Drosophila melanogaster: one gene and its partners. The protein of the gene in region 3 purifies or fractionates together with the protein of the main gene of each other region. This does not show direct contact. Each region holds a gene or a part of one and is shown on either strand. Other genes may lie near its edges.

Region 1 (7,178 bases), on a different chromosome or scaffold from region 3:
TATACAAGGTATAACCACACAAAGCTTTGCTTAAAACTTTAAACTATAATCTCTGGCTATTAGTAAGAATATAATCAGACCCTCTTCCGATCGGACCCTATGACTTTTTGAAGCAACCACCATACACCCAGAAAAATTAAGAACGTCACTCAGTGGCATTTATCATAAATCATGAGAAGATTTCTTCTTGATTTCGAGACGAAAACGATCTCAATTTTAATATTTTCAGAGGGAAGAAGTATCAGGTTTATGATTGTGTAAAAGGAACGTAATGGAAAGACTGACAAAATGAGAGCAAAGTCAATTGTAATCTAAGAATGGATCGATCTCTATCGAAGCATAATTCAATCTTGGCAGAATTTTGAGATCAAAATTTTCAAATCGAGATCTTTGAGAACGGTTTTTTCTCTAAGTGTATAGATGGGCACATATCATAACTTAGAAACCTCATCTTTGATTTGTAAAGCAGCCATATCTTATTCAACCAAATTCAAGGTCCAGTGACGCGTGCGCGTTGGGATTTGAATATAGAAAGCCTTATTACCGGTCATACTCAATATTCATTAACGTACGTGCAGCCGGTCATTAAGCGCCAATTATAGATTCCATTTCTCCGAATGTATCTGCAGTTTTTGTGGCTGCTACTGCTGACGACGACGACGACGACGACGTCCGCCAAGCCCACCAACTCCAGTGATTCTGGCACCAAGAATGGAATGCTGCATGTGACCAGCTTTGTGAACCAGAAGCCCAAGTCGGGAGTACGTGAAGAGTTCGATTTCGAGCAGAATGAGGCGGAGGCCACCAACTCGGCGCATCTGCAACAGCTCTTCGGCAGTTTGTTGCAACTGCCTGGTAAGGGAAACATGAGTCTGGAGCTGTCCCTGGAGACGGACGACGATCCGGTCAGCGAGCGAAACCAGCTGGATGATGAGATGAAGGCCACTGGCGAGCAGCATGAGGGCTTCACCGAAACTGCGGATGCATGGCATCGCATTAAGCTAAATATTCCGGTCCTGGAGCCGGTGAAGCACCTGATAAACACAGTTGGCGGTGGCGGCGTGAACGACTCCCATGTGAAGAGCAATACTCATCGGCTGATTGGACACCATGGCGTCCACGAAACTCACCACAATGGCGGGAACATCAGCTCCCCGGCCATCGAAACGGAGGAGGATCGGGAGACAGCCATCGACAGCACCGGATTCGATGTTCTGGAAACGTTGGGCAGCGCGGGAACGGTTCTGTTCAGCATCTTGCAGAATCTTCGCAAGGTGTTTGCCGCTAGCGCTGGAAGTGCAAGTTCCGCATCCTCGGGGGGCGGCGGCGGTGGAGCAAACTAGTGGACTTTCTCGGAGATTATGTTCTGTGATTAATATAAGTCTTGTGCAAATTCGGATTTCCCTTGATTCTTACTAATTAAATAAACGAAATGTTATGAAAATGGAGAAATTAATATTTCGATTTTGGGAAATAGATTTTGCCACTACCCCAAAAAAGACTTGCAGTTGGATTTTATAAAATATTTTACTGTCTTAATTCTGGTTTTTTATACGATACTCTTAAGTAGCCTACATGAACTCATAGTTTCCGTCGTCAAAGTTGCGATTGCCGACCATTGGACCGCCTGCTCCCATTTGATTGGGATTCTGGCCACCCATTTGCGGCCGGAACTGATTGCCTGGCGTGGTCTGGTGCTGCAAGAGCTGGCGCAGCCCCGGGTTGTTGTTGCTCATCATGGGACGCACCATGCGCTGCTGCTGCTGTTGCGCCTGCTGCTGCTGCATTGCGGCGACGTTTGGCGCCACTTGTTGCAACTGCTGCTGGAGGTTTGGATTGGGCACGCCACCGGGACCAACACCCACGCCAACACCTACGCCCAGTGGCATTCGCTGTTGCTGCATCATGTTCATCTGCATTTGATTCTGTTGCATGGGCATGCCGCCGGGACCGGGACCAGGTCCGCCGCCAGGACCTCCACCACCCATCTGCATATTGAGTTGGAACTGGTTGTAGTGTTGCTGCTGCGAGTTATCCTGTTGCATCTGTTGCTGCTGTTGTTGTTGTTGCTGTTGCTGCTGCAGCTCCATGGGCGACTTGCCTTGCTGCTGCATCATTTGCTGCTGTTGCTGCTGCTGTTGCATGTTGCCGTGCTGCTTTTGCTGTATGACTTTGCGCAGACGTTCCACAAACATTGCCTGATTATTGGGAATGAAGCCCAGAAAAGCGTTGCGATCGGGCGTGTAGAGTAGGATGAGAACCTTAAGGTCACAGGCTGGTGAGTTGGGGATGGAGGAGAAGTGGACGCAGCCAGCATAGCCGGAGGTCATCATCTTGGCCAGCGAATCGAGTGCCTCTCCTGGAGTGGGTCGAAAAACAACCATTTTCGAGTCCTTGAGAAACTGCCCACCAATATTGCCAACTAGGTGCTTGGGCATTAGCTGCATCAACAGCTTGGGCGGCCAGTTCTCAGCCTTGATCTCGGGCTCGCCATCTTTGATGTTGGTGCACACGGTACACTGGAGTGTATGGGGAATCTTCTGTTGATCGGACTTTGGCTTCTCTGACCACTCCAGCACTCCGGTCCATATCTTTTCCCTCAAGGAGGCCTGCTCCTGCTGCGAATTTCCCTGCTGTTGCTGCTGCGGATTGCCCTGCTGCTGCGGATTCGACTGTTGTCCTACTTGTTGTTGCTGCTGCTGCGGATTAGACATGTTGCCGGCATTGCTAGCCGGCATCATATTGTTTCCTGCATTGGGATTTACCTGCTGCTGTTGCTGTCCTTGCTGCTGCTGTTGCTGTTGCTGGGCCAGTTGCTGTTGCTGCTGCAACTGCTGGTGATTTAGCATCTGCTGCTGGCTCAGCATCTGCATCCTTTGTTGCTGCTGCTGTTGGGCCTGTTGTTGCTGCTGCTGCTGCTGCTGCGCCTGCTGCTGTTGCTGCTGCTGCAGCGAGGTCACAGTTTGGTTCGGCGGCGGCGCATTAATGCGCGATATCAGAGCAGAATTTGGATTCTGTTGCATGCCGCCGCCTTGGCCCACACCGCCCACATTGCCTGCTCCCTGCATGAAGGGCGGACGCGCCTGACCAGGCTGGTTGGGATACATCCAGCGGTTTTGGCCGGGTCCCACGTTTTGCTGGAAGTTCTGATTCTGCATTTGATTGGAAACGAATTGATTCTGCTGCTGCTGCTGCAATAGTTGCTGCTGCTGCTGTGGATTGAGTAAGCCCGCTGGGGGATTTGGACCGGGCTGCTGTTGCTGCATCGTGTTCATGTTCATGACCTGCTGCTGAGGATTGCCTTGTTGTTGCTGTTGCTGCTGCTGTTGTTGTTGCTGTTGCTGCTGCTGGGCTGGAGTGGTGTCCATGGGCATGCCCTGCCCTTGTTGTTGCTGACCAGCTTGATTTTGTTGCTGTTGTTGTTGCTGCTGCACTGTAGCCTGTGCCGCATTGGGTGCAGCCATTTGGGCCGCCATGCTGTTGGGACTAGGTGCTCTCTCCTTGAGGCTGTATCCCTTTAGAAGCACTAGGTGTCTTATGTTCTTGGCATAGTTTTTGCTCGTAATGGGCTGATCTCCGTCGGCCTTCATGAAAAGTTTGAACAACACCGGCATCTTGCGTGGCGCAATAATGGAGAGATTGATTTTGCGCTCGTTGAAGAGCGCCGCCAGCTGCTCACATGATTTGCCCGGATACTTCCACGACTCCGTTGTGGGCATCTGGTACGGCGGACTGTTGCAGATGAGAATGCAGTGCCTCTGGACGCTGGTCTGATCGAGCAACTGGCGCCTTTCGCTGATGTCATCAAAACAGCCGTGGGCCGCAGCAAATCCTTCGGCCATGTGGGCACAGGACTCCATTCCGCCTCCCACTAGTGGCAATCTTTCGATCGTCTCCATCACTTTTTGGGGCTGCAGAAAGGGACCATAGGTTGAACAAACTGGCTCCAGCAGATTGGCCGCTGTACGGTAGACCACAATACCGTACAGAGTGGCAAAGCGCTCCGCAATCAGGTATTCCCGCTCGTCGATGGAGCCAGTGGTGAAGTGCTCCAAAGTCGGCAGGATGTAGTTGGTCTTTAGTTCGTTGATGTAGGCTCCGTTGATGGCGCTGCCCTCGATGACGAAGACCACGTCGGCCAGGGGAATCTGGTCCACCTCCATTGGACGATGGGAGTTGGCTTTAAGTTGAAAAACTTGTTGCAAAAAATGTAAACTATGTTGTCTGCTTTACACCGCTCTTTTACTTTTTTCGTTTGTTTTGCATATCGCTCTGCTGCTATCGATAGTCAACTTATGGTTATCGCTCAGCGATTGCTAGGGCTGCAAAATAAATGAATATTCAAAAGTGCCCATAAAGTTGGATTTAAGAATATGCAGATTGCCTTGAAAACTTGTTTCTATTGAATTCTTTTTCTATTTTCACAAATAAAAAAACGTTTGGTGTTTATCTAATTAACTTAAAATTGAATATTGCATACAAAAGATAACTATAAATAAGATATTACGATGTTTTATGTTAGGTATCATAATTATAGTTGTTTTATGTATGTATTTTCAATGGAACTATAAAGTTAATTCTTTAAATATTCGTTACCAATAGTTTATATCGATGGTTGCAAGTGCTGCCAGACTCTCGCAGCGAGTTTCCGTTCGGCAGTCTGGCAGCGCGGTCAGCTGTTCCTATTGCCCAACTTGCGCAGTTCGTTTTGTTCAGTTCATTCGCCGATTTTGAAGAATGCGGACGTTGACGCTGGTACCGCGTCGTTTTGCCAAAATAATTCGTAAAAAATATACGCAAAACGCTTAGAAAGTGTCAATTAACTAAACATTAGCTATTGAGCAGTGCAAGTGCAGGAAAAACGATCGCAGAAATAGCCGAAAACACATGAAAGTGCGAATTGCGGGCTTTTTTGTGGCTGGCACAGAATGTGTGGCACAAAGCGGAAAGCGCGCTAATTGAGCGTGCGAGCGCCTGAAACGCAGAGAAATGTAAATAAATAAACGTGTGACGCCGCGACAATTGTGAAAAGTGCACAAACACGACGTTTGGCAAGTGAAAAGTGAGTGAAATCTAGATAAATTTCATTAAATTGCCCATTTCGCATCTGGCAAGAAGAACAGCTGTTGTTTGGCATCTCGCTCTGTCTGGTTGTCCTCTCTCTTATTTTGCCCTCTCTCTGTTTTTGTTGCTCCCCTTTGCTTCTGTTTTTTTTTACTGCAATGTTGCTAAATCGTTTGATTCTATTATTATAATTATACTCCTTGCCCTGACGTCACTGCCTCGAAAAACCTGATAATTTGGGTAGGCAATTAGCATGGTTTAAGTATAGTTTAGAGTACAGAGAAGTGAATTAAACGGCCATGTGTGCACAGCATGCATGCTTTTTTGTTATTGTTGCCTGGCAACATGTTTCGCCACATCTGCCTTTTTTTTCTTGTCTCTCTGTTAGTCCAATTTGCCAATAAGCAACTTTTCCATTTGTTTACAATAATTGTGATCGCTACAGAAGCACCGATCGTGAAGTAAAAAGCGCCTACATAAATATAAGGCACCAGTTATGCTTGGGCGTCACTCCGACTGCCGATCGCCAGTTATTTTAGTTGGGTGTTTGTACATTTAAATACCCTACCTAAATGCAACTTACTCGCATGTAGTCAATATCATTCAAACCCTAATATGTTACGCATTTTCCAATCGGGTTTATCACATATAAACAATATCGAAGCCAGATAAAGCGACTTGTGATAATAATCACCCATACAACAAAGGCTGTTCATTCATTATATTTACCATATTATTGATAACTATTTTTATAACTGAACTACAATATGTTCTTATAAATAAAGAATCACTAGATAATTTAAATATTAAATGAAATAAGTACAAACTATTTTTTAACTATAATAAGTTATTATTTGAGTAATTGCACGTATTATCATGTACGGATGTAGGTTTTTTGCTTTAAATAATAAACGTATTTAAACGTATTTTTAATTGATTAAGGGTATACTAAATGCATTGCTTTCGGCTCCGCCATTCACTTTCCACTATTGCGTCATTATTGGTTGATTTATGTATTTTATCGTTACGCTATACATTTGCAGATCGCATTCGCGCGTGGAAATTTAATTTAAGATTTCCCACACAAATAAAGATAAATTTGTTATTGCACAAACGTTTGTTATTCACGCCCGTCTTGAATACTTACTAATAGATTTGCAATTAAAATAGGGTCAGATTAAACGATAAATCAACTTCACCGCCTGCTTATCAGTTTTTGACCCTAACAAAAAAATAGAAAGTCCAATTAACTATGTATGTACGTTTTAATTGTGAACTTCTTATCAGTCTGCCATAGATTTAGGTTCTTAAAAACTATTTTTGATTTTCCCCTGAAGAGCTTTCAGCTACTAAGTAAGTGGCTAGATAAGGGCTAGACAATTTGACAGACCGCTTTATCGGCATGGTCAAGTGGTAACTAATCGGAAACGGTGTTGCTTTTGTAGTGCTCCCAAAACTAATAGGTTTCTAACCGTTTTTCACTCTTACTCCATTTGCAGGCACTGAAAGCCGAGAGACAAGGAAAACCCATTTCCGCGCCAAGTGCAATGGGCGAAGGTGTTCCCATTTTTCGAGTTCTTATCGGGCAGCGACTGAAGTATGATTGAGTTGGCCTCGCCTCCGATTCGCGTCTGGTTCTCGTTGCGCTAGGCCGATACGGATACCCGCTTGGACTCCACTCGGGTGGACCCTTGTTGGACCTTTAGTGCGATTTTCGAGGGAGGCCAGGGAATGGAACATGCCCGGGGATATGCATAAGAACGTATCTGTTCAAGTCGATAGTGATTTTGCCTTATTGCTGCCCAGTGGTGTTTATGAAATCAAGAAAATGGAACCGCGCTCCAAAATCCGAACAATCATTGTGTTTTGCCTCTTCCTGGCCATCGCCGGCATCATCGGATTTGGATACTTTTGTCAAGATCAGGTAAGTGCCAAATCCCCTCATTAATTCCCATTGCTTATAATTTATAATTTTCTGTTACTTGGCTCCAATGCAAATTAGCACACCAATTGGCGAAATGCTGAATTTATTCATTAATATTTGCCGTACATGTGTGCTTTTATTGGAATTACCATTCATACATTTTTGGATCGCACGAAACTTGTTTTGCTAT
Region 2 (8,149 bases), on a different chromosome or scaffold from region 3:
TCCATGGCAAAAGTAATTTATCTGAACAGTGTCGTTCAACAAAAACAACTTTATTAAATGATTTAACTTGACGGACTGTTAAATCGCTTATTAAAGTTAATATCATATAGGTATTTACAGTTGAATGTACATGTTTTAGTACTATCTTAATTGTATTTAATTCAAAACTAATTATCGATTGGTTAATTTTTATCAATTTTATTTTCCAGTCACCCCCAACCAAATCGAGCGACTTTACTCGCGCTTCACCTCCTTGGATCGCAATGATTGCGGAACCTTGTCCCGGGAGGATCTGATGCGTATCCCGGAACTGGCCATTAATCCGCTGTGCGAGCGGATAGTTCATTCCTTTTTCGCTGAGAGCAACGACGATCGGGTGAACTTCCGGCAGTTCATGAACGTCCTGGCCCACTTCCGGCCGCTGAGGGATAACAAGCAAAGTAAGCTCAACAGCCGGGAGGAGAAGCTGAAGTTCGCCTTCAAGATGTACGATCTGGATGACGATGGTGTGATCAGCAGAGACGAGCTGCTCTCCATCCTGCACATGATGGTCGGGGCGAACATTAGCCAGGACCAGTTGGTCAGCATTGCGGAGAGGACGATCCTGGAGGCGGACCTGTGCTGCCAGGGCAAGATCTCGTTCGAGGACTTCTGCAAAGCTCTGGACCGCACCGACGTGGATCAGAAGATGTCCATACGGTTTCTCAACTAGGCTAGCTGGATGCGGCAATCACGAGGAAAGAGCGACCTTCTTAGTCAGTGTGTACCAAATAGTTTAGGATGCAGTTAGTCGAGAGGCATTCCGGCGGGTTACTGAAAACTCTAATGATTTGAAAGCAGTGGTTGCTATTCTTATTATACCAGTTGTGTTTTCCAACCATTTAGAAGTTTCAATTTAATGAATGAAAATGAAAGTGTCGCAAAGTTTTTTAAACCTGAGTAATTTGCCCAAAGCTTATCGAAGATATTTCATTCAAGTTAAACAAAAAATGCATATGTTTGATCACGGGTGCTAGAGAAATACAGAAAAATATAACCAATTGCTTGGTATCTAAAAGTTAAATGCGTCCGGAAATTTGATCAAATATTTATGATAAAAATATAAATAAATCTTTTGCTGTCTTATATTACAAAAAAATAATTTTTACAAATCTTGTAGGTTTCAGGAACCCGTCGGATTTACTTGTATTAATAGTTGTTATGAAGAATGAAAGAGATGCTCATTTCATTTTGTTAATGCCTTGTTTTTATAATTACAAACTCATTCCGCTCAACGTAAATTCTAATTCAGCTGCTTACGAATAAAAGCATCGCGGATTAACACACTTATTGTTGAACATAATTTGAATAGTTTATTGCGTTATAAGACGATCAATTGGAATAAGTGGTTGTATATTCGTAATTTCATTGCCTGGACCATTGATTCCAGGTGTCGTTCGCCTTCTTCGACTTCGCCAGGGAAGCAAGCGCCTGAAACTAGAGCCAGAGTCGATTTATGTGGTGGTGGACACAGCCAGCTTCTTGAGGTGCTCCATGAACAGCTGCAGCGAAACGTCATCCGTGAGCACTGGAGCCCCGCCATCCTGTCGAGATAATGTCCGGAAAATTAGTCATGCGATGGGTGGGTGGGATCGTGCCAAGTGGGGAGGGGAGGATGAATGAAAAAGGGATACAAGCACCTAGAAGGGTCCAACACCAAAAGCCACTTATATATAAATCATGTTTGAAATTATTAAAAACAATATGAAAAAATAGGAACAGACAAAATCTTTGCTTAGATTAAGCCGTGTGGGGTTGGCCATCTTAGATTTATTGCAAAATCCAAAACACTTATTTTGGACTTATAGCTATCAAGAGCAAAGGACATATCCAATTTCCAAAGATTTTTTACCCGCCCCTTAAATTTCAAATATCCACCTTTCCACCAGTTTAAAAGTTGAAAATTAAACAAATATGTACTACCGTGACTTGACCGATGGGCGCCTGCGATTGACAAAGGAGCGGTTACGGATACGGGTACGGATTATACAATGAGAGAAACAAAACCAACATAAAACGAGATTGAGATTTCGATTGAGATTAAATTTTCGATGACGCCAAATGGAGCGCTGCAAAGATCAATCAAATGTGGCCAGTTGATGGCGCTGGCTGCGAGACTCACCTGCCCGTAGGCGTACATGTTGTTGTGCGTCTGCGAGGGATTGACCTTGGACAGCAGGAAGCGGGCCTGGGATCCGCCGTGCTCCGTATCGATGTAGCGAGGCATGGGGAAGCGCGTCTGAAGAATCTCTTGCGCGTCGTCCACCGGTGCTTGCAGCAGCTGCTTGAAGTTCTCGTACTCTGGCATGTCCTGGTATTTGAGGGCTCTCCACTGGGCGATGGTCTCGCCGTGGTAAATCAGAATCTGAAAGAACGTGTCCATCAGGAGGATGCGATCCGCCTGGATGGAAGCCGTATCGAGGAGGACCGGTTCTGGAGGGCCGTTGAACGAGTAGCTGTAGAGAATAGGCTGGATCATGATCAGCGATTGGGTGAGGTCCTCGCGCATTAGCATGTGTCGATAGAATGTGGTCTCGTCGGGCGAGTTGTTGAAGACCTGCAGGAACTGCGAGCGGCGCAGGTGGTACATGAATTGCGGGAATAGGCTGAAGTTTTGCGACAGCCTGAAGCTGTTGGGATCGTCCTTTGAGTACTCGCCGAACTTTTGGCACTGTAAAAGGAAAGCATTTACAATACTAATTAATTGGGCACGAGTAATTTTGCACATTGAAAACTTACCAGACGAATCAACTGACGATCGACCCAGCGCAGAATGTCGGGTCCTTCGTCAGTCTCCGCACGATAGACGACCATACGGGCCATCAGAACTGCGGCGGCCTCCTGATCGAAGCCAGCGCTGATGTGGTGCACGTTCGAGGTGGCATCGGCCCAACTGAAAAACAAACAGATTGAACCACGTAAGTAAACTCTGGGCTGATTTATGCCAACACATACTTTCTGGCCAGTGTGGTAACTCGGATTCGCCGCTGTCCACTTGGGTGCTGGTACTGCGTAATGAACTGTATGCAGCCACGCCCGCCCTGCGGAATGGGGGCTGCATGCTGGTTGACCACCTCAAAGAAGTAGGCTACGGTGGAGCTGGGATTCAATGTGCACAGCTTCCACTGCACCGTGTTGCCCATGCCGATCTCCACATCCGACACCGACGGGCTCTTCACATTCAGCGACACACACGAGCCGATGCCACCGGAGATCTTCAACTCGCGCGAGCACTTCACCTCCAGCGTGGCATTGAAGGCCATCTTCAAGTCGTTGCGACCATCACGTGCGAAGACGCGTTGGAATGTCTGCTTGAAGAGCGATGAGTTGAACGAATCGCCCATGACCATGTGGCCGCCAGTGGAGTTGCATAGCTGCTTCATCTCCAGCAGTCCGGTTTGGTCCAGGGCACACGAGTATATGTCGACACTATGCCCGTTGGTGGCTGCCCGCAATGCCAAAGCATCATAGTGTTTGATAGCCTTCTTCATAAACCGCACGTTGTCCTTGTGGATGTCGTGATGCGAACGAATCGGGTGCTTCAGCTCGTCGTCGACCACCTGGCCGGGGCCCTGGGAGCAAGGGCCACCCACGAAGGTCATAATGCGACCGCCCGTATTGGGATAAGTGCACTCCAACAGGCCCACCGCAATAGATAGGGCGGCACCAGTGGAGCGCAGGTAACGCTTGCCCTGCGGCACCGGCCAAGGATCGCGTTGCAACTCGCTAAGCAGATCGCCCAGCGCCGCGTCGCACTGGCCGATCGGTTGCAAGAAGCGATGGGCGGGCGGCACAGGGGCCGCCGCTCCAGCCGGCTGGCCGGGCAGGTGCTGCTGTTGCTGCGGCCCCGGAGCCGCTCCACGCCCAATTCCGAGCATATCCTGCACCTGCTTGGCAGTCAGGTCCTTGGTACCACGAAACACATAGCTCTTAGAGCAGCCTTCCGCGCCCAGCTCGTGCACCTGTATCATTTTTCCGAAGGTTATCAGACCCACGAGAGCGTTGGTTGGCAGCAGACTTAGCGACATTTGCAACGAATCCTTGAGGGCGTCCAGCTCCTCCTCGTCCATGCAGGTGTCAACCAGGAAAATGAAGACGGGCGGCATGGTGGGGGCCCGTGTAATAGTATACTCAATAGTGCTGAATCCCGGAATCAGCTCCGCTGGTTGGTGCTGCTCGGAAATGGCAGCATATTGAGGGGGAAACTGGAATAATGACTGTCATAAACTGCCGCAGAGAGTCTAAAGATCACCATTGAGCTCACCGGATTGCGCTGAAAACAGAAGTTGCACACCCACAACTTAGCACGGTAGTCCACCTGGCACAGTGGATTCAGGATGGCCCTGCAGTTGCTGCGAGTGCACAAGACCGGCTCATATTGAATAGGCGGTAGGTCGGGGCGCTCCTTCAAAGGCTGGTAAAGACAAGCTAGGGGCACCACCAGCCGACTGGCTTCGATGCGACTTGAGGGCCACACATTCCACGTCAGCCGCACTCCGTCGCGGTCCTCGTTCTGCTGGATGAACTCCTCGTAGGTGGTCATCGCCGGAACACTTAAATGTAATACTTAAATCGGAAAAACCTCTGTTAGACCTCTGCCAATTGGAAAAATCGGTCGGTCAGGCCACGTCACGGATTGACAGCGAGTCGTGACACCTTTCGTGCTGGCGACGGCCAAAATACTCACGCGAAAGTAAACAAATTCGCGAGATGAGTCTTTAAGAGGCTCTTCAAATCAAAGCACTCACTCTGGAAACAATTTATACAAACGTACAAAACGTAGAAACCTAGACTACGAACTATTACAGAATTTTAAGTGCAAACGTTGCATGTTAGGGAAGACAGTTTTCAAGCGATACTATCGCATGCGCCCCATGCGATTGAATGAATGTTTTAATATGAGAAAAAAAGGGTGAAAATAAATATGTTTTGAAAATGATAAATAAAACAAGGTTCGCCCATAATTTTTTCAGTTAATTTTCTTAATGATATATATTGTTATTCAAGAAGTATATATAATATAAATAAATATAAATCGTATTCCTAGAAAAGCCCCTTATCGTTTTTCTTATCGCCCCAACTAAATTTTAACATTAAGTTTTTACCCAACACCCCATGTATCGATTGCTATCGATGGCCAAACTATCGCACCGTGGAGTGCATCCCTGGTGCAGCTGTTTACTCGGCATTGTGTGTGTGTGCGTGTATTTTTTAGAGTTGAGTTGTTTCTAAGATGGCGACGAAAAAAACGCGTCTTCTTATGTGAAAAATGCAATCATAACAACTCGAGTTTTCTGCTAATAAATGTGCGCTAGTTTGGAACAGGACCATTGAAAAACAGTGCTAAGCGTGTGCCGAGTGTTTTGCATGTGAAAGTTTTGGTGCGGTAGCGTAGTGAAAATGGCCACAAATATGTATCGAGTCGGAGGTGAGAAAAATTTTCGCGTACTCGCTTTTCTATCATCTTTCGTTATCGGCGCCGCCGTTTCACGGTGTGCGTGTTCGCTTCTGCATATGTGTGTGTGTGTCCAATGTGTGCGTATGCGTGTGTGTTGTGTCTGAGGAGGCTTTCCAACAATAACGAAAGTGCATTTTAATTGCCGAAAACCCTTTAGTGGGAGACCCGACGCACGTGTATGTGTGTGTGTGTGCGTGTATTATCAATCTCAAGAACAATCCGTCGAAAAGGAGAGACCTTTTCTATTTTTTTTAACTTCTTTGAAGGAGCCCCCTGCTGCTCTTGTGTCGCAGCTGCAGCAAGTGTTTTCGACGTGTTCCAACCGATAAGCATTAACTTATGCCCTAAGTGTATGCGTGTGTGTGTATTCTAGGGCTGGGGAACTGAATTGCATTTGCATTTGGATTTGGTTTTGCCGAATTGTGATCTCTCCAGCGTGTGTGTTTGTTTGACTATGTGCGAAAGTGTATCTCACTTTTGGGCTCACCGCCCACCCGCCTTTTTGTGTTTTCATATGCTAATGAGCTTTTGAGCATCTCCCCCCATCTCACGCCTCCCACTCCTCACCCTGCCTGACGCACTTTCTGTTAGCCATCTCGCTCGCGCTCGAGCGGTGACGTTATTGTGTTGTCTTCACCTGATTTTCGCAAGTGTGTGGGTGTGTGTGCTCTTTCGAAATGCAAATAAGCTCGGTCGGATACGCAAGCTTTCAATTAACGGAATCAAAATAAATATTAATGGCATATATACTTGTCGAATTATCTGCTCTTTATCGCCGAGAACTTTTTGTCTCCATCGGCGTTTTTTGTTAGCCGTTTTTAATGGCCACGCACACAGTTACACACCTTCGGCAATGCTTTCTCGCTGCCTCCACACTTTCTTTTTCATCTCTCTTCATCTATCTACCCATCTATCTGTGTATCTGCATCCCAAAATGTAGCAGAAGTGCACACGACGTTTGTATCTATGTATGTATGTACATACAGATAAACGGAATTTCTTTTATTTTTTATAATAGTCAACGACAGGTTCCGCTGCAGTTGTTGTAGGTATAAAGTTATATGGATGGATAGACCCATATGTATTTAATTGCGCTTTAGCTGGTAGTGGTGGTCGCACTTAGGTGGATGCGTGTATAGGTGTATGTGTGCGCTTACCTGTGACGTATTAATGGAGTTGCAGCCCCCCACCCTTCCATGCCCTTTTCTGACCCTTTTGCATCAGCCACCTCAAAAACTGTTTTTTTTTCAGACTATGTTTACGTTGAGACAACGCCGAACAGTCCCTACTTAATACGACGCATCGAGGAGCTGAACAAAAACCAAACCGGCAATGTGGAAGCGAAGGTCATGTGCTTCTACCGCCGCCGGGATCTGCCCAATCCGCTCGTGCAATTGGCCGACAAACACCAACGTGAGTAGAGAAACCCTGTTCCCTCGAAACCGCATCCATATCTTGCGTTACGTTACCTCTAAGTGTGTATATTTATTGTCAACAAAGTGAGGTTATGTTGCCAAGAGTCGTTGTCGTGGCCTTCAAACAAGTTAAGAGTTAAAACCTGACGACCAGATCTGCTAAGCACATGCCCACCACAAAACAACAACAAAATGAACCCGTAAGGGGCACCACTGTGTGCGCTGTGTCAAGGCATGTGGAAAGCGAAGCCACCCACCGAACCACCCAACCTCCCACAGTGCCACCCCATCCCGCAATCCTAGTCAAACTTCCTGAGCAACAAGAACCGCAATGACAACAACTGTGAGGGCGGAGCGAAAACGGATTTCGTCCAGCATCCGACTCATCCACATAAACAGGCAGTGGAACCTTCAAACAACCTGCCACATCAACTGGCAGTGTAACCACTCTACTTCGAACCAGAAGCACCATTGATCTACGTTCCAGTAGCGCAATTTGAATTATTCGTGTCGCAAATTAGAAAAAGCATTTAGCAAATAGTCTAAAAAGATATTGGTCATAGAAACTAGGTGTTTTGGGAACTGGTAATGAACATAAACACGCATCGTGGTGCGGAAATAGCCTGTAAATTATTAAGTTCAACCTTAGGCATACATATGTACATACGTTAAGGTGCCACCGGTTTGCTCTAATGATGCTCGACTGTAATGAGCTGGGCTGCACTATACTACCCGTAATGCGGTTGTTGCTGTTTTCGGTTGCTGCTAGGCGGCGCCGACGTCAATGTGAATGTGATACTTGGTTCGGCTGTAGGTAGACTACAGTAGTAGTCTGTCTACCTCTGAAAAGCTGCCACACATACCCATGCCCAACCCAACCCCAAACCCACTGACACTGCTGCTCTGTGTGCACGAAAATGTTCAAGTCAGAAGTTGGGATCTGGAGGGGATTGGAATGGAGCAGTGGAGTGGAGTGAAGCTATGGCGATGTGGCACACGCAGGAAGGCGCGCTTTGCATTTGTGTATACATACACACAGCGCCTTCATCCACTTCCTCTTCGCCGTTCCAAAAAACTCACAAAAACCATGCCCAATTGGGTTGAATTTTTGGCTTTGGCCACCCACTCGAATTCGATACGTGACCGTCGCGAAAATGCGTTTTCCGTGGGTCTGACCTGGCAGAGCAACCCACCCCAATCCACCACCCCATTCTACCTCCTACACTCCCACAAGACC
Region 3 (9,528 bases):
CCAAGATCGAGAAAGTCACGCATCTGAAGCATGGCTCCCATGGCCGTGGCAGCGGCAGTGCTGCCCAGGACCATGTAAACCTTAGACAGGTGCTCGCGCACATAGGGCTCACTGAAGGAAATAAAAGGAGGACTATTAGTTTCAAGGTCCATCGATCCGATGGACAACTGTTGATGTGGTTGGATACCAAAACAACACGTCAGTGCAACGCACTTGGACCCCAACCTCTAAGGGGGTGACCCATCGGCATGTAATACTTACTAACGGTCACCGAGCCCGTTCATGAAGGTCTGGAAACGGTCGTTGATGTAATTCGCAGTATCTGCCATTGTAGTCTTTTTCGCACTTGCTCTTGCTAGTTTCCAGTAATATTACACATAAGTTTGTCAAACGGAGGAGTGAATTAGAACTGTTTGCACTGATGTTTTAAAACTGACTGTTTACTTTGTAAGGCCTACTCGGCTCTATTTTCTTGCCTTTTCTTTCTGTATTTCACGAAATCTGTTTTATCAGCTTTTAGTGTTGGATAAGTTGCTATAGGTTAGTGCTGACGACGTGGTCTTTTTACAGCTACATTTAGATTTGAACTTTATGCTCGTATTCATTATTAAACTCACCGTATACACATAAATACTTGTACAACATACTATAAATTAAGTTTAACATATAATCCTGTTAATTGAATAAATAAATAATACTCCAGTTCAATTTTGTATAAATCTTTTGGATTTTATACCAGCCTTTTTTTTTTCAAAACTAGAACACCGTCAGCACTGTTGATAAGGTGGTGTTTTCGACAATTGCCCACCTGAGTCAGTGTTGGGTAAACGGACATTTTTCGAACTTCCAGATGATTCTATGACGTGTTTTTCGGTTGCGCGCGCTGCCTACTTTCCATTTGAAAAGCAACGAAGTTCGAAACGACTAGTAAATGTTTTTTTTATTTCGCGCTAGATCCAAAAACAAGGTAATTGGCGTATTTTCTAAAAACATTGTACATGGTAAATAATAAACTATGGCAAATTGGGCGACTAGGTGCTGTTACTTGTCCATAAAACAAGAAAACTCTAAAAATTCTATAGTGTATATATAGGGTCCCAGAAGAATGGGACAACATTACCTGCTTTGGCATGACTTAACAGACAGTAATGGTTTGTATAAATTCATATGTAGTTTGTTTCATCGAGATCACAATCACAGTATAAATTGTACAAGACATCGTTAAGCTCATAATACTCTTAACACCTCTAGGCTCTCGCTCTGCGGAGAGTTACAGGTACTTTTCAAATCGTAGACTTGATTTAACAAGGTGTAATTGCAATTCGGGATTAGTGGGACATGATCTTAGTCGAGTATCGTTTACAAAATGTATATACAAATTAAAAGTAAAGCTAGAATTTAAAAAAGTAAAATGTAGATGATACAATTGGAGGCCTAAGTTGTGTAAAATGAGCCGCGAGTAGTACAGTATCTCGGGGGGAACTGAATGACTTTGTTCTTTTCTTGGAACCTATGTTAGGAACTACATCAGCTTGTAACGTTAGTATAGTTAACTACGATAAATGCGATTGGGACGTTTCTCTTTTAGAGTAATTTAGTCTAAAAATCATGGTATTTGGGCTAAAAGCACACACTCGACTTATTCTATACAAACATATGGTTTTCTCCATCCGTTTATGCGGATGGATTCAGTCGGCATTTGAATGCTACAAAAATTCACTCACACTCAGTCTCAAGCACACAATTATGATCGACTTAAGTTTAATTGTTAAATAAAAACAAGATTAAACAAATGCGTGGAGAATGTTTACAACAAAAGATCGCGAAATATTTGAAAATACATTAGGGATAACGATTTTCGGCCTCAGTCGGCAAAATGATTTTGTTAATATAACAATTTCCATATTAATTGCACGCACAAGTGCAATAATTTTGTAATTTTTACATACAATTTTGTTGTACAATTATAAAGTCATTAACTAATAAGATGTTTTTTTTTTTATATAATAAGAGTACAAGAAGACACACAATACAAGACAGTTTTGGTAAAGGTTTTTTCTGGAACAATTCTTTTTTTCATACGTTTATGTTTTATTAAATAAACCGAAATTTTAGAGTACAATAATATTGAAATTCTGCTGCGAAGACGGCGGTGCAGGAATGCTAGTTGTTTGTTGTTTGATGATCCAGTGCGCATCAGTGTCTATAATGTCCCACGCTGACTGTCCCCTTGGCTTCTCCATCGATCCTCCTGCTACTGCTGCTGACTTCGGTCTGCCGGTCTTGATGTTGCCAGGATTCTGTGATGTGAAGTTGGATGGATCCAGAGGCAGTCCCCGTCCGTCGTTGGTAAAATCTTGTCAGCATTTCGGCTTATTATAGTATGTCTAGAAGAACTATGCTGTTTGCCATATTCATATCCTACGTATTGGTAATGTTAGATACAAATCGAAAATCTGTTAATTGTGGCTAGCTTGTCATCCCACCAAGCTGCGGCTTATTGTTTGTTAATAGAGTGTGTTTAGTATATCTGTGTTGCATCTTTACACTTGATTACGGGTCCACTGGCGATGGTTCCAACTTCCACTTACGGCAGTCAATGCCGGGAACGGTGCTCCTCACGCCTGTCGCGATCACGCTCCCGCTCGCGGTCGCGGTCTCGATCGCGGTCGCGTCGCTCACGGTCCGAGGAGCGGTACCTTTCCCGATCCTCGTAGTAGCGCTTCGATGATGGCGCCTCCGCTGCTTCGGCGACTACGGGTTCCGGCGACTTTCGTGGACGCACCGATCGGCTGTTTTCGGATTATGGGATTGAAATTAACGCAAGGTTTTCATTTCGAGCTTAAAAATAATTCGCTTAATTGTCACCGTATATTGTTGCACAAAAGAGCAAAAATATTCTGATGAGCCTAAACAGTTACAATTCAAGCTAACATCTTTACAGAAAGCTTTTAATGAAAATAAAAAATTTGAAAAGCCTATACCTTAAAAATACTACCTTTTAATAAATTATACATTTTTCCAAATATTTTAAAATAAAGTTTCGTCTGACTTTACAAATCTACACTTGTTTTTACAGCAAAAGTAAAAAATCTGTTTACGAGTGAATAAATTATGAGTTCTATGCTATTTAAATGAAGCACTATGATTAATTAATCAGCAACTTTTAAATGAGACAGTGAAGCGAATTTTTAGAAGTAGAACGTCTTTACCTGTCATCCCTGTAGTGATCTGGAGCCTGGCGTTCACGTTCTCTACTGCGAGACCTCTCTCTGTAGCTTCTAGAAAATGAATACGGAATTAAGTGTGAGGCTTACACATGGTAGAACCAAAACTTACCCGCCATCCCGTTCACGCTCACGATCCCGATCGCGTTCCCGCTCCCGAGATCGCTCGCGGTACCTGGACGTGGAACGCTCACGTCGCTGTCGGCTGCGATGAGATCGCTCCCTCGACCGCGACCTTTCGCGCCTATTGTAGCTCTTGGCCTCGATGCCATGCAACGTGTCCTGCAGCGAGCTAATCAGAATTTTGCATCGCTCATCGTGCGCTACCTTGGACTGTTTGATCAGTGAAATGGCTGTGACCAGTGTCTCGATGGCGCTCGAGTATTCACCAGCGGCTGCATCAGAAACAGCTCTGAAAATAAATTAGCATAAAAAGGGAATTGATATTTGATCAACAAAGTAATTAATTATCTAGATAATTTATTAATTAGACCGGATCTGAGTCATAGTTTCAATAATTGGAATTTTCTATGAATTCGACTTAGGAATGGGTTAGTTTTTAAATAATAACTACAAGTTTTGACCTCGTTAAAGAAAACATTTTAAAAACCTTTGCACTCACCTGGCGATCGCCGAACTGCTGACTGTGCGATTTCTGCTCATCACCTCCTCGAACTCCACCTCCGTCAGTTGCGGACCCATCTGCTGCGGATCGGGGAAGGGACCTGGTGGCTTACCCTGCGGTGGCGGCCACGGACCACGTGGTCCATGCTGGGCGAACTGGGGTGGCGGTCCATGCTGTGGCGTCATGTTCATGCCCTGTTGCGGTGGCATATTCATGCCTGGCTGTGGACCTGGTGCTCCGTGGGGCGGGCCACCCATGCCCGGATGCTGGGCAGGACCACCAGGCTGGTTAAAGAATGCTGGGTTCACGTGGGGTGCGGGTGCGCCGTGTGGTCCGCCCGGACCTGGTGCTGGGGGAAGGCCACGTGGCGGACCTTGCGGCGGGAAACCACCGTGCATGGGTGGACGACGCCAGTCGGGACCTGCCGGACCCCTGACGGGCATGCCCATTGGGCCTCCTTGGAACTGCAAGGCAGAAGAGACAAGATTATTTACTGTTCCCAATGATCGGATCGAATCGGTTTCTAAGCTATAGTATGAGTTTGTGTTGCATGGGTTGATCTGTGGAATTACTGAAAATGTTCTGAATACATCGCTTAAGACTAAGTTAACTAAGGTTAACTTAAGTTGGGTTAGTCTTCCTTTATCTCGCCTTCTCTCTGGCTTCGTTAGAATTATATTATGGCATAGATACAAAGAGGACTCAGTGCTTTGGGGATTGTTACCATTGGTCGCTGCGGTGGTCCGTTCGGTGGACCTGGTCGCGGCCCGCCTGGCCGCTGACCTGGCCATTGGCCCTGCGCTGACGGATACCGGGGTGGCGGCTGTTGGTTCCCCATGAGCCCGCCTTGCGGATGCATTGGCGGCTATATTAATACGAATTACGTTTTATATTGAAGTAGTAGTTGTTGTTGTGGGGTAGAAGTGTGCGTAAGCGTTGTCAAAGACATGGAATAGAACATAAATCGTAATACATAAACATTTTGTATAACAATAGCGGGCCATTATACACAATTACAAATACTAGGGGGGGAAATACATTAACGCAATTAAATCAAAAGTATATATTATTTGAGTGGAACCAGGAAGGCACTGCTCTTGATTTTAATTTATTACATGTGCTTTTTTTTGTTGAAAGTCTATGACTAGAGTACAAAAGGAGTAAAAAGAATACAAACTGCCTTAGGCCGAGGAGTGCTACAAAAAATTGCTCTGAAATTACTTGTGAATTAATAGAAGTAAAGAATAAGAATAGTACTTAAAGACATAAATAAAAATTCTTAGAAACTTAATTTGTACGACAGCTTTAGTTTAGTTTATAAATTATCAAATGAAATACTAACAAGAGATCGGATATTTCAGATTGTTTATATCTCACATCTAAAGTCGTTATTGTTTTCTCTAAATTGTAAAACTAAGTTTCTACGTTTAATTTACAAAAGAATATCGAACAACTGAAGTAGAACATATTCGTTTATAAACTATACATGAAGTCGTATATTTAGGGTTTCTAATTTTACCTAAGTAAGCAAATTTTGCATTCAGAACAATTTTGATGGAAATAGGAAATAATGTAGGAATGTAGAAACAAAACAAATTAGAACCGAGCGATATTTCTACAAACGATGAGACCTCTTGGGGCCATGTGGGGCTAAAACAGTGGTTGTGTACCTGCATTCGTGGAGGTCCTGAGTTGGGTCCGCCCACCTGGGGAACCTGCGACATGTGCTGCGGTCGGTACTGGCCCGGCTGCATGATGGAGTTCATCCCGCGCGGTGGATGTCCCGGTGGTCCACCTCCTTGCGGTCCTCCTGGATGTCCGGTGGGCATTGGCCCGCCACCCATACTGGGTGGTGCCGGACCCCTGGGCGGTCCATTCTGCTGCGGCGGCGGCACTGGACGCGTCTTTTGCAGACTCTCGAATTGGGTGAGTGCCTGCTTGCTGGGATACGTGACCACCGGCGCTTGGCCGTGCATCTCCTTCTTGGGCAGCTGGTCGAGCACGGCGCGCAGGCTAGATTCTGAGCCGAGGGAGATTACACTGAAGCCCTTCGACTGACCGTTGGCCCTGTTCTCAAAAAACTTCACTTCCTGTAGATCACTCACGCCAATGTCTCGCAGCGAATTGGCGATATCCTGGTCAGTGGTCCACCATGTGAGATTGCCCACATAAAGCTGGTAGCGGCGATTCATGGTCGGAGTGAGGCTACCACTGCTCTGATGGTACACCCCATTGGGACCACCGGAATTCCGTTCGCCGGGTTCCCCGGAGCCTGGCCCTGCGGCTCCATCTGCGGAGGGCGTTCCACCGCCCCCGCCACCTGAGGCGGCCGATTCGGTGGGACCGCCTATGTCATCGTATAGGTCTACTCCATCGCCTCCAAATTCGTCCTGTGCGGATAAAGCAAAGTAATTAACAAGTGGGTCAAACTGTTGTGGGAATCCCGTAAAATCGTTAAAAATAAACGATCAAGTCTTGTTTTTTTTACAAATTCGATTTTACTCTATTTTTACTTTAGAATTTTTAGAATGTATAGTTATTGGGATTCGTACAATTCTCTACATTTCCATGGCTAAAGAAATTAAAAAAAATTACGTTTCATTTTTATATAAATATAATATCCCTGCACTCAGTTCCTAGAACCCTACTTTACAAGGTACCAAGTGGTCGAGTTCGCCCAAGACGCCGTTCTACCCCCTAACGCAATTCTTTCGGACATCGATCCACCCTACTGTATACATACACACGCGGCTTGCAGAGCGACTGCCTTTTTCCCATGGCTTACCTGAGCCTGCCCGGCAAAGTCCTTGTCGAGGTCCTCCGCGTACAGATCCAAGACCACGTCGGCCATGTTGAGCCGGAAAAGTTGCTATTCCTAGGCGTAATTACTGATTTTTCACCGCTTTTCCCAATTTTCGCACGCACACTAAGACACTCGCCAATCTTTCCGTCTCTGTCCCACTTGCACTCGCGCCTCGTACAGTTTCTTTTTTTTTGCGGGGGAGGGGGAAGCCGGAGCAGAAACCGGCGTGCTGCTGCGCGATTTAGCCGGGTAATCGCGCCCGCTGCACAATTAATTGATTAATTGCTTTGGCGCGTTGTTTTCCGTTGGGTGAATTCTGTAACTATTTACATTCTACTCGTGCACGAACTAGTTTCTTCAATCTTGCGAAAAAATTGTCAGCGTAAAATGGCGGAGCGGTGCAGTGTGACTGTAAAGCTGAAATGTGGAAAACCTATGCGGTATATTTTTGCTCGCATACTAGAAAATACCACATCCTGTTTGGGGTATTCCGCAATTTGACAGTTAATGAGAATACAACTACGATAAAATATATTTAATGAATAGAATTTAATTAGATGTGTTTGTTACCTAAATCGCTTTATTATTACCATAAAATAATCACAAATACTTGACATCAATTTCCAATTTGACTGTGGTCGTAGCGTGGACACAAACCATTGAAAATATATCGACTTCTATCGAATTTTGAATTTTAAAACCAACCGTTAGAACTTTCTTGAAATGTGTAATAAGTTCATTAGGTTCTTTGTTATTAAAAATCGACATGTGAAAATACTTAACATTCATTACAACACCCATAACAGGCATATCTTAATTTAAATATGCATACTTCTAATAAATTTGCCTTTTTAGGGGACCACCATCACACACACATTAATTTGCATAAATTGTTAATGCTGCCCAAAAACTATAGCCATGCATATATTAGATTTGCAGGTCCAAATAGACGCTGACCGTGTCACTTGCACAACTAGACAGCGCACTTGGCCAGAGCTCCAAATTTAGAATTTAAATATAGCAATTAAGCTGATTTATGCGGCCCGTCTGCAGGTTACAATAATTGCCGCTAACAACTCGGCTCTCCGAAATCTTCGAACTTGCTGGTGGCTGGGAACCGAGGAGATTGTGGCGCCGTCGACTTGGCCACTCGTATGCAAATGCGCGGTGAAAAATTGGGGGAAAAAAAAACCGAGGCAGCATTTTTTAGTCGGGCCTGTGAAAAAAAAGACACATATCCCGAAATCTAGTGCATGATTAGCCATGTTATTCGTGTATCTGATGTTTTTTCATTTTTCTTCTCGTATTTGGGCAGTAGTCCACCTGTTGGTATTTAGTTTTTAACTTTGGCTCTTTGACTCCCATATGTTAGTTGCGTTAATGAATTGCCTTAAATGTCAATTACCACTGGCTTTTATCGTCCAATCTGAACGGACGGCAATTATATTTGCTGCTCTCGCCTCATGCGATTGTGTGTTTAATTAACAAGAGTAATTAAATGGGTAATTACGATCTTTACAGCAATCAATCGATTTTTAAATGCTTCAGCGAATAAAGCTATTGCAGATTGGATTTTCGCGATTTGCATATGTGGAAATGTGTTTCCAATTCAAGGTGGGCGGTTCTTCAAGAGCAATCACGCAGATGGAAATCGACGGATGTTGGTGGCGAGGGTGCAGTCAATTGAAATTCTCGGCTAATCGCTGACATTTTTGGGACAGAATTGGGGCTCAAAGGTGCAACATTGAAGGGGAGGAGACTTACGCACGTAGTATTTATCTTAAATATACTGCACGCTTTTAAAATAACCAACAATAATAGGATAAAAATCAATTGCTATGAAAATATTGCGCATACGCCGTGTGGCCTTTGGCTGGCTATCATAAAAGTCGTATAAGTGTTATTGAATGTTTCCGATCACTTAGATCTACATAATGGCTACCACTCATATCAATTGCCCCCCATCGACCATTTCGGACGTGCGTAAGTCATGTCAAAAATTTATTGCGTGACCATTGGCTGGGATACTTTATCAAAAAGCGGCGCCGCAGCCTAACAAAGTGCCAACTTGCAACTTCCAAGCTTCCAACTGCCCAGTAGCCGTCGTGCCGCTCCACCACCATCAGTTGGGCAATGGATACGCAAAGAGAACATGCATAAATCTCACACCACAGCCGGCCATCAAGTGCACCTACACAGCAGCAGTCATTCGATGCGATTCGATTCGGTTCGGTCCTGGCCAAGTGTCGAGGTGCCAATTAAGGCTACACACTGCTGGGTATTTTGACCATATCATACTGCAAACTGCGAACTGTAAGCTACAAACTGCACTGCATGGATAATTTTTTTAACTCCGTGGAGCGACCGAAATGGACCAGGCCGAGTGTCATTTGATTCTTGTGGCAGGCTGGCGCGTTTCATGCGCCTTTGACATGCAACCAGGGTCCAAATCCAAAGCTCCATGCCGAGTCGGCACAGTTTACACGAATCACCAGCAAACAAAACAAAAAAAAAAAAAGAAAAAAAAAACCACCAGAAACCGACAAAAAGCGAACAAAAAACAAAAAAAAAAAAAAACATTACGAAATTTGTCGTCTGACAAAAAGCTTAGAAAACGATATAAATTAAATTTACGTTTTTGGTGCTCATTAAATGTTCACAACTTTGGGCCCAGCGAGGCATTTTCGGTTGCAAAATTAGAACATCGCTTTGGGAAATCGCCGCCAAAATGCAGTTAATTGTTTTTCGCTCTTGTTAAAGTTTTCTACTCGGTTTTCTCGCGATTGTCACAAATTGAATAATGTCTCAATTGCGCACCGCTGCTGTTTTGGAGAACATTCAAACATTGTTTGCCAACTGTTTGCAATTGTTTG
Region 4 (6,672 bases), 5.7 Mb from region 3:
GCTGGCTAATTATAAAGGTCTTTTGTTGCTGCTGCTGTTGTTGTGGCTGCTGAACTCCAGAAATTTGCTGGTGTGAATCAAACGAAAATTTATTGGGGTAAATATTTAAAAAAAAAGACAAAAAACTAAGAGTAGGCATACCTGCTGTGGTTGTTGTTGCAGCTGCTGTTGCTGGGGAAATTGACCAATAATCTGCTGTTGTTGTTGTTGTGGAACCTGCTGCTGTTGCTGAACATTGGTTGGTGGACGTTGTATGGTTTGTTGAATTATCCGCACTTGACCACCAGCTCCAAGTGCTATTTGCTGCTGTTGTGTAAACTGAACTTGTTGCGGTTGTTGTTGTTGAACTTGGTGCTGTTGCGGAAGCTGTTGCTGCTGCTGTGCCGGTGGCAGTTGCTGCACTTGAGTAATCTGTTGTTGCTGCTGCGGCTGCTGTTGTGCTTGTTGTTGAACGTGCAACAATTGCTGCTGCTTCTGCAAGGCCAAAGACATATGACTTTGAATGATTTGTTGTCCTTGAGCCGTGGATGTGTTTATAACATGGCGCTGAGTGATGACTTGTTGCTGTTGTCCAGGCTGTGGCTGTTGCTGCGTCAGGACCTGCTGTTGTTGCTGCTGCTGTTGTTGTTGCTGCTGCTGCTGCTGTTGTTGTTGTTGTTGCTGCTGTATTTGCTAAAAAGAAGTAATCATTAATTTCCGGTAAAAAATAATATATGTTCTTTATTTTACTTGAGCGTTTTGTTGGTTTGGCTGCTGTTGCAAGGTGGGGGTAGTAGGTTGCTGTTGCAGTGGCGATTGTCGCGGAGAAGGGGTGTGCTGCTGTTGTGGTTGCTGCTGCTGCTGCTGTTGCGGTTGCTGTGCCATTTGCTGCTGCTGGGGCTGCGGTGCCATTTGTTGTTGCTGTTGCATCTGTTGTTGCTGCTTCAATTGTTGCTGCCTCATTATCAACGAGTCCTGATTGCTGCTCAATGCAGATCGACTGAGCACTTGAGCTACCTGAACGGGGTCCGTTGGGTCGATAGGCTTCTGCTGGGAGAATGATTGCTGCGGCTGAGTGGCTTGTCCAGGAACCACCTGATGCTGATGCAGCTTTGCCTGCATGGGTGGAGTTTGAGAAATCTGGGGCGATTGCGGAGAAATATGCTGGGGACTCTGCTGTTGCTGTTGTTGCTGCTGTTGGGCCAATTGTTGTTGCTGCTGCAATTGCATGCGCTGCTGTTGATGGACGGGCTGTTGAAAGGGCTGCATCTGTTGCTGCTGTTGCGGCGACATCATAGATTGTGGTTGAGGTTGTTGTGGCGAGCCCATCATGTGCTGTTGTCGATTCTGTTGCATTTGCTGTTGCTGGCGCAAATGTTGTTGCTGGGCGTTTTGCGGCGAGGGCGGAGGTGGCGGAGTCATTTGGGGAGCTGGGGATTGCAGTTGTCGCGGCGATTGTGGCGGCAACATATTGCTAGTTGCATGATGCTGCTGTTGCTGCAACGATGGGGATGGCGTACTTGGTGGCATTACCGGCGAACGGTTTTGCACCATCCGAGGCGACTGTTGTTGTTGTAGATTCTGTTGCTGTTGTTGCTGCTGCATTTGCATCTGTAATTGCTGCTGCTGCTGCATAACTTGTTGCAGCTGTTGTTGAATTTGTCTCTGTTGCTGCTGCTGTTGCGGCGTCAATGCTTGTCCGCTTTGCACGATTTGCTGCAATTGCATTTGATTCTGGTTCAAAATTTGTTGCTGCCGCATTAGATGTTGGTGTATGATTTGCGGCGAAACCGGCACAGATTGTTGTTGTGGCTGCTGTTGCTGAACAACTTGCTGCTGAACAATTTGCTGTTGCTGAACTATCTGCTGCTGCTGTACCATCGTTTGCTGCTGGCCCACTTGTTGCTGCACCACCTGTTGCTGTTGAACTATCTGCTGGTGGTGCTGAGGGGATTGCACGGGCTGCGGCGTTGTAGATGGTGTACGTGGTGTCTGCCGGCCTGTTGGAGTCGTTGGCAGTCGGGGCGACTGCTGTTGCTGAGGAATTTGTTGTGGATGTTGTTGAGAAAGTTGCTGTGGAAGTTGCTGTGCGATTTGTTGCGGGTGTTGTTGCGCAAGCTGCTGTTGAAGTGGTTGAGGATGCGGCTGTTGCTCCTGCTGCATTAGTTGCATTTGGATTTGTTGCTGTTGCTGAGACTGCTGCGTTGTTTTCATTTGTCTCTGCTGTAGGATATTTTTGATTTGCTGCTGGTTTTGTGGTTGCTGCTGCAGGTTGGCGGGGATAATCTTCTGCTGCTGAATTATTAATTGTTGTTGATGCTGCGGGTGTGGTGCAGGAGTAGGTGCTTGAGGACCACCTTGCTGTAACTGGTGAGGGGATTGTTGTGCTGGCTGTTGGGGTTGTGGCTGTGGGCGCACAAAGACCACCTGCTGCTGTGCGGGTACGGGCAGCTGTTGCTGCTGTATTTGTTCAGCTGAAGCCTGCAGCTGAGACTTAATGCTAGCGATGCTCTTGGCAGCTACGCTGTCCTCGCCAAAGCCAAGGATGTCAGATAGGGCAGAAGTAGCCGTTGCCTGTTGCTGGATAATCTGCTGTTGATGTTGCTGCTGCTGCTGCTGCTGCTGTTGTTGTTGTTGTTGTTGTTGTTGTTGTTGTTGTTGTTGTTGTTGTTGTTGCTGCTGCTGCTGCTGCTGCTGTTGTTGCTGCATCTGGTGTTGGTGCTGCAATTGCTGCTGCTGCTGAATTTGTTGCTGCTGCGTAGCCTGCTGCTTTTGTGTTCGCTGCTTTTCAATGGGCTTCAGCAGTCTCGGATGATACGTCTCCACGGGCATGCAGTTTTTGTACTTAAGGCTATCTGTCACCCAGTCGGGCGTCACAATAATGATGGCATTCTTGGGCAGGGCCAGCGCCTTGTTGTAGATGCCACCGTTGGCTGCACCGCACACCAGATGCGTGTTGGTGGCCCCAAAGCTGTGCGTGACTACGGCACCGTGGTATGTCAGCATGGCGTAAAGACGCCTTCGATCCCCTGCCACTACATTGGTGATGGCCACCCGAATGCCGCGCATCAACCGCATTTGATTCGGACTCGGGTCGAAAGCCCGTGTCGAGGCCATTCGGCCTAGCTTGGCGCTGTGCACGATCCATTGCTCCGTTACGGGAATTGCACTGTAGAGGTCCAGGTTCATGGACAGCTCCTCCTCGTTGTAGTTGGTGGCGCATATCATGTGGGTGATTTGGTCCGACAGGAACAGTTTCGATTGAGCGCCACCGCTCTTAAGAAAGCGTTCGATCTGCAAGGCAAAGGCATAATAATTATTTATTACATTACTTGATTTAAACAGTATATATAAAAGATATATGTATGTGACCAAATAAGAATTCTTTTTTCAAGGGTGCCAAATATGTTGCTTCCGTTGGTAGAGGAGAACCAAAACAAAAATCAGTTGATTTAGCACCAATACAAACTCCAGTACACAAACACACAAACACGGCAATTTGCCGGCAACTTTTATGGCGCGCATTTGCCAAGGTGCCCGGGTTACCCTGTCCGCCCGCGCTCCAACCCACCCTGTGAGACGCACGCACACCCGCTCACACAAACACACACACACGTACGCACAATGCAAGTACAGCAACAGCAAACGAAAGATTCGCTTTGCAGCTTTTTACCTCCTCGTCCAGATTTCCCAGCACAAAGTATATCACATCCTCGAACAGTTTGTCGCTTATCTTGAGGTTCTCCATGGCGCCGCCGTTTGTTTGACCACTTGCACTTCTCTGGCGGCGCTAATTTCACTTTTGCTTTTGTTATTGCTGCTGCCGCGGCTGCTCGTGGGCATCTACATTGCAGCGTGTTTTCTCGTCTTTCCGCTGATCTTGGCCATTTGCGAACTTCGAAAAACGGTGTGCGATGCGGTGCTTATCGCGTAGCACATAACAAATGCAATTTGGAACCGAAAAATTGCATTTAAAGATCACTTTTTCTCTTTTATCACCGCTGCGCCTTCCGCCTAGAGTTGGTACAAAACACTGTTTATGCGATACTATCGATAGTTCCAGAAGTGTGGCAATATGGATGCTTAATCTGCTGGTATCGATTGGTGGAAAACTTGGATATTTGATTGATTTCATTTGTACTGTGGTCCAAAAAGCGATTTTATTGGTTAAAACTTTTTTAATTGGGCCTAAAACTCACTTTGCAAGTTCGATTAACTTTTAACTAAAACACGATGTTCGTATGAAAATATATGAACCCATCTATTTGTATTAAATATTGTGTATTTCCCACCTATTTTGGTGATTTCATTTCGTTCCCGTCCAATTTGAACAACCAATTACCATACCACACCGCTCGAAGGAACGTTTCCTAGTTAATTAGACTCCACTCCGGGCACTTATAATTTAAGTAAACATTTGTATGGCACATTTCCGATTCAGTTGTTGGGTTAGCGCCCCAGGAAATCAACACATTTATAAGTATACGTACATACATTTATTTTAGCTCTGCTTGATTTACAAATTCATTTTAACTCGACTGTTTGGTTTTTGCATCAAAAATTTAGCTCTGCAAGCAGCAGTACCTATGTTATTATCAATTAGTTGGTGAAATTCCGTCAACTGCTTATAGAATGAATGCAAAAAAAAAAATATAAAAACATTTTCCATAGAACATGGTGAACTTTTAAAAACTTTTGATGGAATCCCAGTAATGTACGAGAACGTGTGTGTGTGTGTGGCTGGCTGCTCCAACTTAAATTTATTATGCTCGTAATACTTACAACTATGTACGACGAGGGTAAGTTAGTTTAATGTTACAAAGATAGAGATATATATAACTGTTGCAATAAATTTCGCGCTGCTCGGCTCGCCATCTTCGCTTCCCCGGCCTGAGAGATGGACTGATGAGTTGATCTTGAGATTGATTGGCCAGTGCGGATGGCGATTGAATTTAACGGGGGAAACACGGAACATGGTGCTAGAATTTCAGTTTAAACTGTCGCGAAATGCCCGCACAATCCGGCAGCAGCCATCTTAGCATTAGGTTTTTCATTAAAATTAGGTATAGAGCATTTGAAGTGGGGAACGGAGAACTGGCTGCACTTGAGGTTGTGGATACAGTAGAGGTGAGTGTTGAGTGGTGAGTAAATTAGCTCGTCGCCGGGAACTTGTTACAGGGTTGGATGATCGAAGTCTTGCGCGCCGGCACGGTTTCGGGCGTGGGAATGGCCTCCCCGGTGGTCACCTTGTTGGCAAAGACCTGCTTGACGCCGCCACCCTTCTGCTTGGCCATCTGGTAATCGCCCGAGTCGAAGAACTTTTGCTGTGGGAAGGATATGAAGGAATACATATTAGATTTCTCTTATATAATCAAATAGCTTTTTAGAACTAAAACGGAGATATCTTCCAAATGCAAACTTAATGTAACAATCTGATTTCGTTTACCAGATCATCAAGTTGATATAAACTATGCGCTGTGATTATTGAGTTTCATTGATTTCAGAAAGCAATTGCCAAATAGTATGGATCTTAGAATAGAGGAAACATGAATTGTTATTTTCCTTTAAACAACGGGTACTAAATACTACTAAATAATATTATTATTATTATTTTTAATTGATATTCATATTACAGGGTTTGGGTATCCCCGAACACCGAAAGTTAGTAAACTTATTGTTTGATTGTTTTCGAATTGTGCTAATCACTTACCCCCTTCTGCAGCCTTTTCTGGAGGAAGGCCGAGTGTCCGCCCGGCACGCGCATTCCGCTGGGATACTTGGACTTGAGTTTCTCCTCCTCGATCTTCTCGAGATCCGTGAGGTTAGCCTGCTCGGTGGTCTCGGTGTCCTGGGGCGTGGTGGCCGGGCTGTTGCTGTTTTCTTCCGCGGAGCTCATTGTGTGCTGCCTACGGGTGATAGTACTGGGATTAGCCAAGGTGCGACAATGGCGACACGGGAGAACTTAAATGGCAAAAGGAGGGGGAGGCGGCGGAATTGCAGAGGGGCAGCGAAAATCGGAGGCGCGCAAAATGCCAAGAGAAAATTGCATTTCATTACACACACACACAGACACAAACGCGCTAGGCTCGCACAAACACTGGCACGTAAATCCAGGGCAGGCGCACGCACACTTGCTAATATATGTGGACGCGAAATATTATAGTAATAATCGGATGTGCAAATATTGTTTTAATTTTTTATATACACCAACCACTACGCAGGCGATAAGGCTTGTGTGTGCGTGCGTTTGCTCGTCGATGCGGTTGTTTGTGTGCAAGGCGTAGTTGCTCACCTTTTGCCTGTAAAATTTGACGATTAACTGTTGTTTTCCTTCTCCTTTTGTTCTTCACCCGTCTATCAGTGTGTCTCCTTCCCTGGAATCGAATCGGTTTTGCCAATTAGCGTGCCGACTTAGCGGAGAGTGCTGCTATTCGCTAACGATTCCGGCAAATGATGTGCTGTTCGACTAAATCAGGCTGTTACACGAGCTATGTATTTGGTGTGTGGAGAGTGACTGAAATTCCCAAGGCGACTCAATTGTAAAATTATTTTATCACTTTACAGACGCAAGACTGTCTTCGATAGCAGAAGGCGTTATTTCGGAACATATCGTTTATCGAAACTACAGTTGCTCAATACTGAACTGTCCAGCTTCGAGTAGCTGTGGCTCAAACCATTGTTGTCATCGATAAG

What was found.
Region 1: the proteins of Cpsf6 (region 3) and MED25 purify together in Drosophila melanogaster (affinity purification with mass spectrometry, with the first as the bait; one large-scale study listed by BioGRID). This does not show direct contact.
Region 2: the proteins of Cpsf6 (region 3) and Sec23 purify together in Drosophila melanogaster (affinity purification with mass spectrometry, with the first as the bait; one large-scale study listed by BioGRID). This does not show direct contact.
Region 4: the proteins of Cpsf6 (region 3) and Ptip purify together in Drosophila melanogaster (affinity purification with mass spectrometry, with the first as the bait; one large-scale study listed by BioGRID). This does not show direct contact.

Annotation. Positions count from the first base shown.
Region 1 is NT_033777.3:20,006,045-20,013,222, reverse strand, and holds MED25 (mediator complex subunit 25), read right to left. Parts: upstream 4,277-7,178; 5' UTR 4,164-4,276; coding exon 1,572-4,163; 3' UTR 1,511-1,571; downstream 1-1,510. Other genes in the region: CG17190 (uncharacterized protein), read left to right, coding at 630-1,343; Hs6st (heparan sulfate 6-O-sulfotransferase), read left to right, coding at 6,803-6,988.
Region 2 is NT_033777.3:5,645,815-5,653,963, reverse strand, and holds Sec23 (secretory 23), read right to left. Parts: upstream 4,900-8,149; 5' UTR 4,727-4,899; exon of another isoform or gene 4,606-4,726; 5' UTR 4,583-4,605; coding exon 4,304-4,582; intron 4,245-4,303; coding exon 2,995-4,244; intron 2,933-2,994; coding exon 2,779-2,932; intron 2,711-2,778; coding exon 2,162-2,710; intron 1,984-2,161; coding exon 1,960-1,983; intron 1,584-1,959; coding exon 1,494-1,583; 3' UTR 1,335-1,493; downstream 1-1,334. Other genes in the region: elm (ethanol sensitive with low memory), read left to right, coding at 210-712; MTA1-like (metastasis associated 1-like), read left to right, coding at 5,440-5,467, 6,749-6,910.
Region 3 is NT_037436.4:8,308,435-8,317,962, forward strand, and holds Cpsf6 (cleavage and polyadenylation specific factor 6), read right to left. Parts: upstream 7,069-9,528; 5' UTR 6,704-7,068; coding exon 6,638-6,703; intron 6,243-6,637; coding exon 5,523-6,242; intron 4,718-5,522; coding exon 4,577-4,717; intron 4,317-4,576; coding exon 3,850-4,316; intron 3,640-3,849; coding exon 3,340-3,639; intron 3,282-3,339; coding exon 3,213-3,281; intron 2,793-3,212; coding exon 2,597-2,792; 3' UTR 2,059-2,596; downstream 1-2,058. Other genes in the region: BI-1 (Bax Inhibitor-1), read right to left, coding at 1-111, 262-329. UniProt on the Drosophila melanogaster protein: May play a role in pre-mRNA 3'-processing.
Region 4 is NT_037436.4:14,025,118-14,031,789, forward strand, and holds the start of Ptip (PAX transcription activation domain interacting protein), read right to left. Parts: upstream 4,005-6,672; 5' UTR 3,728-4,004; coding exon 3,653-3,727; intron 3,274-3,652; coding exon 730-3,273; intron 673-729; coding exon 142-672; intron 68-141; coding exon 1-67. Other genes in the region: endos (endosulfine), read right to left, coding at 5,130-5,303, 5,690-5,875.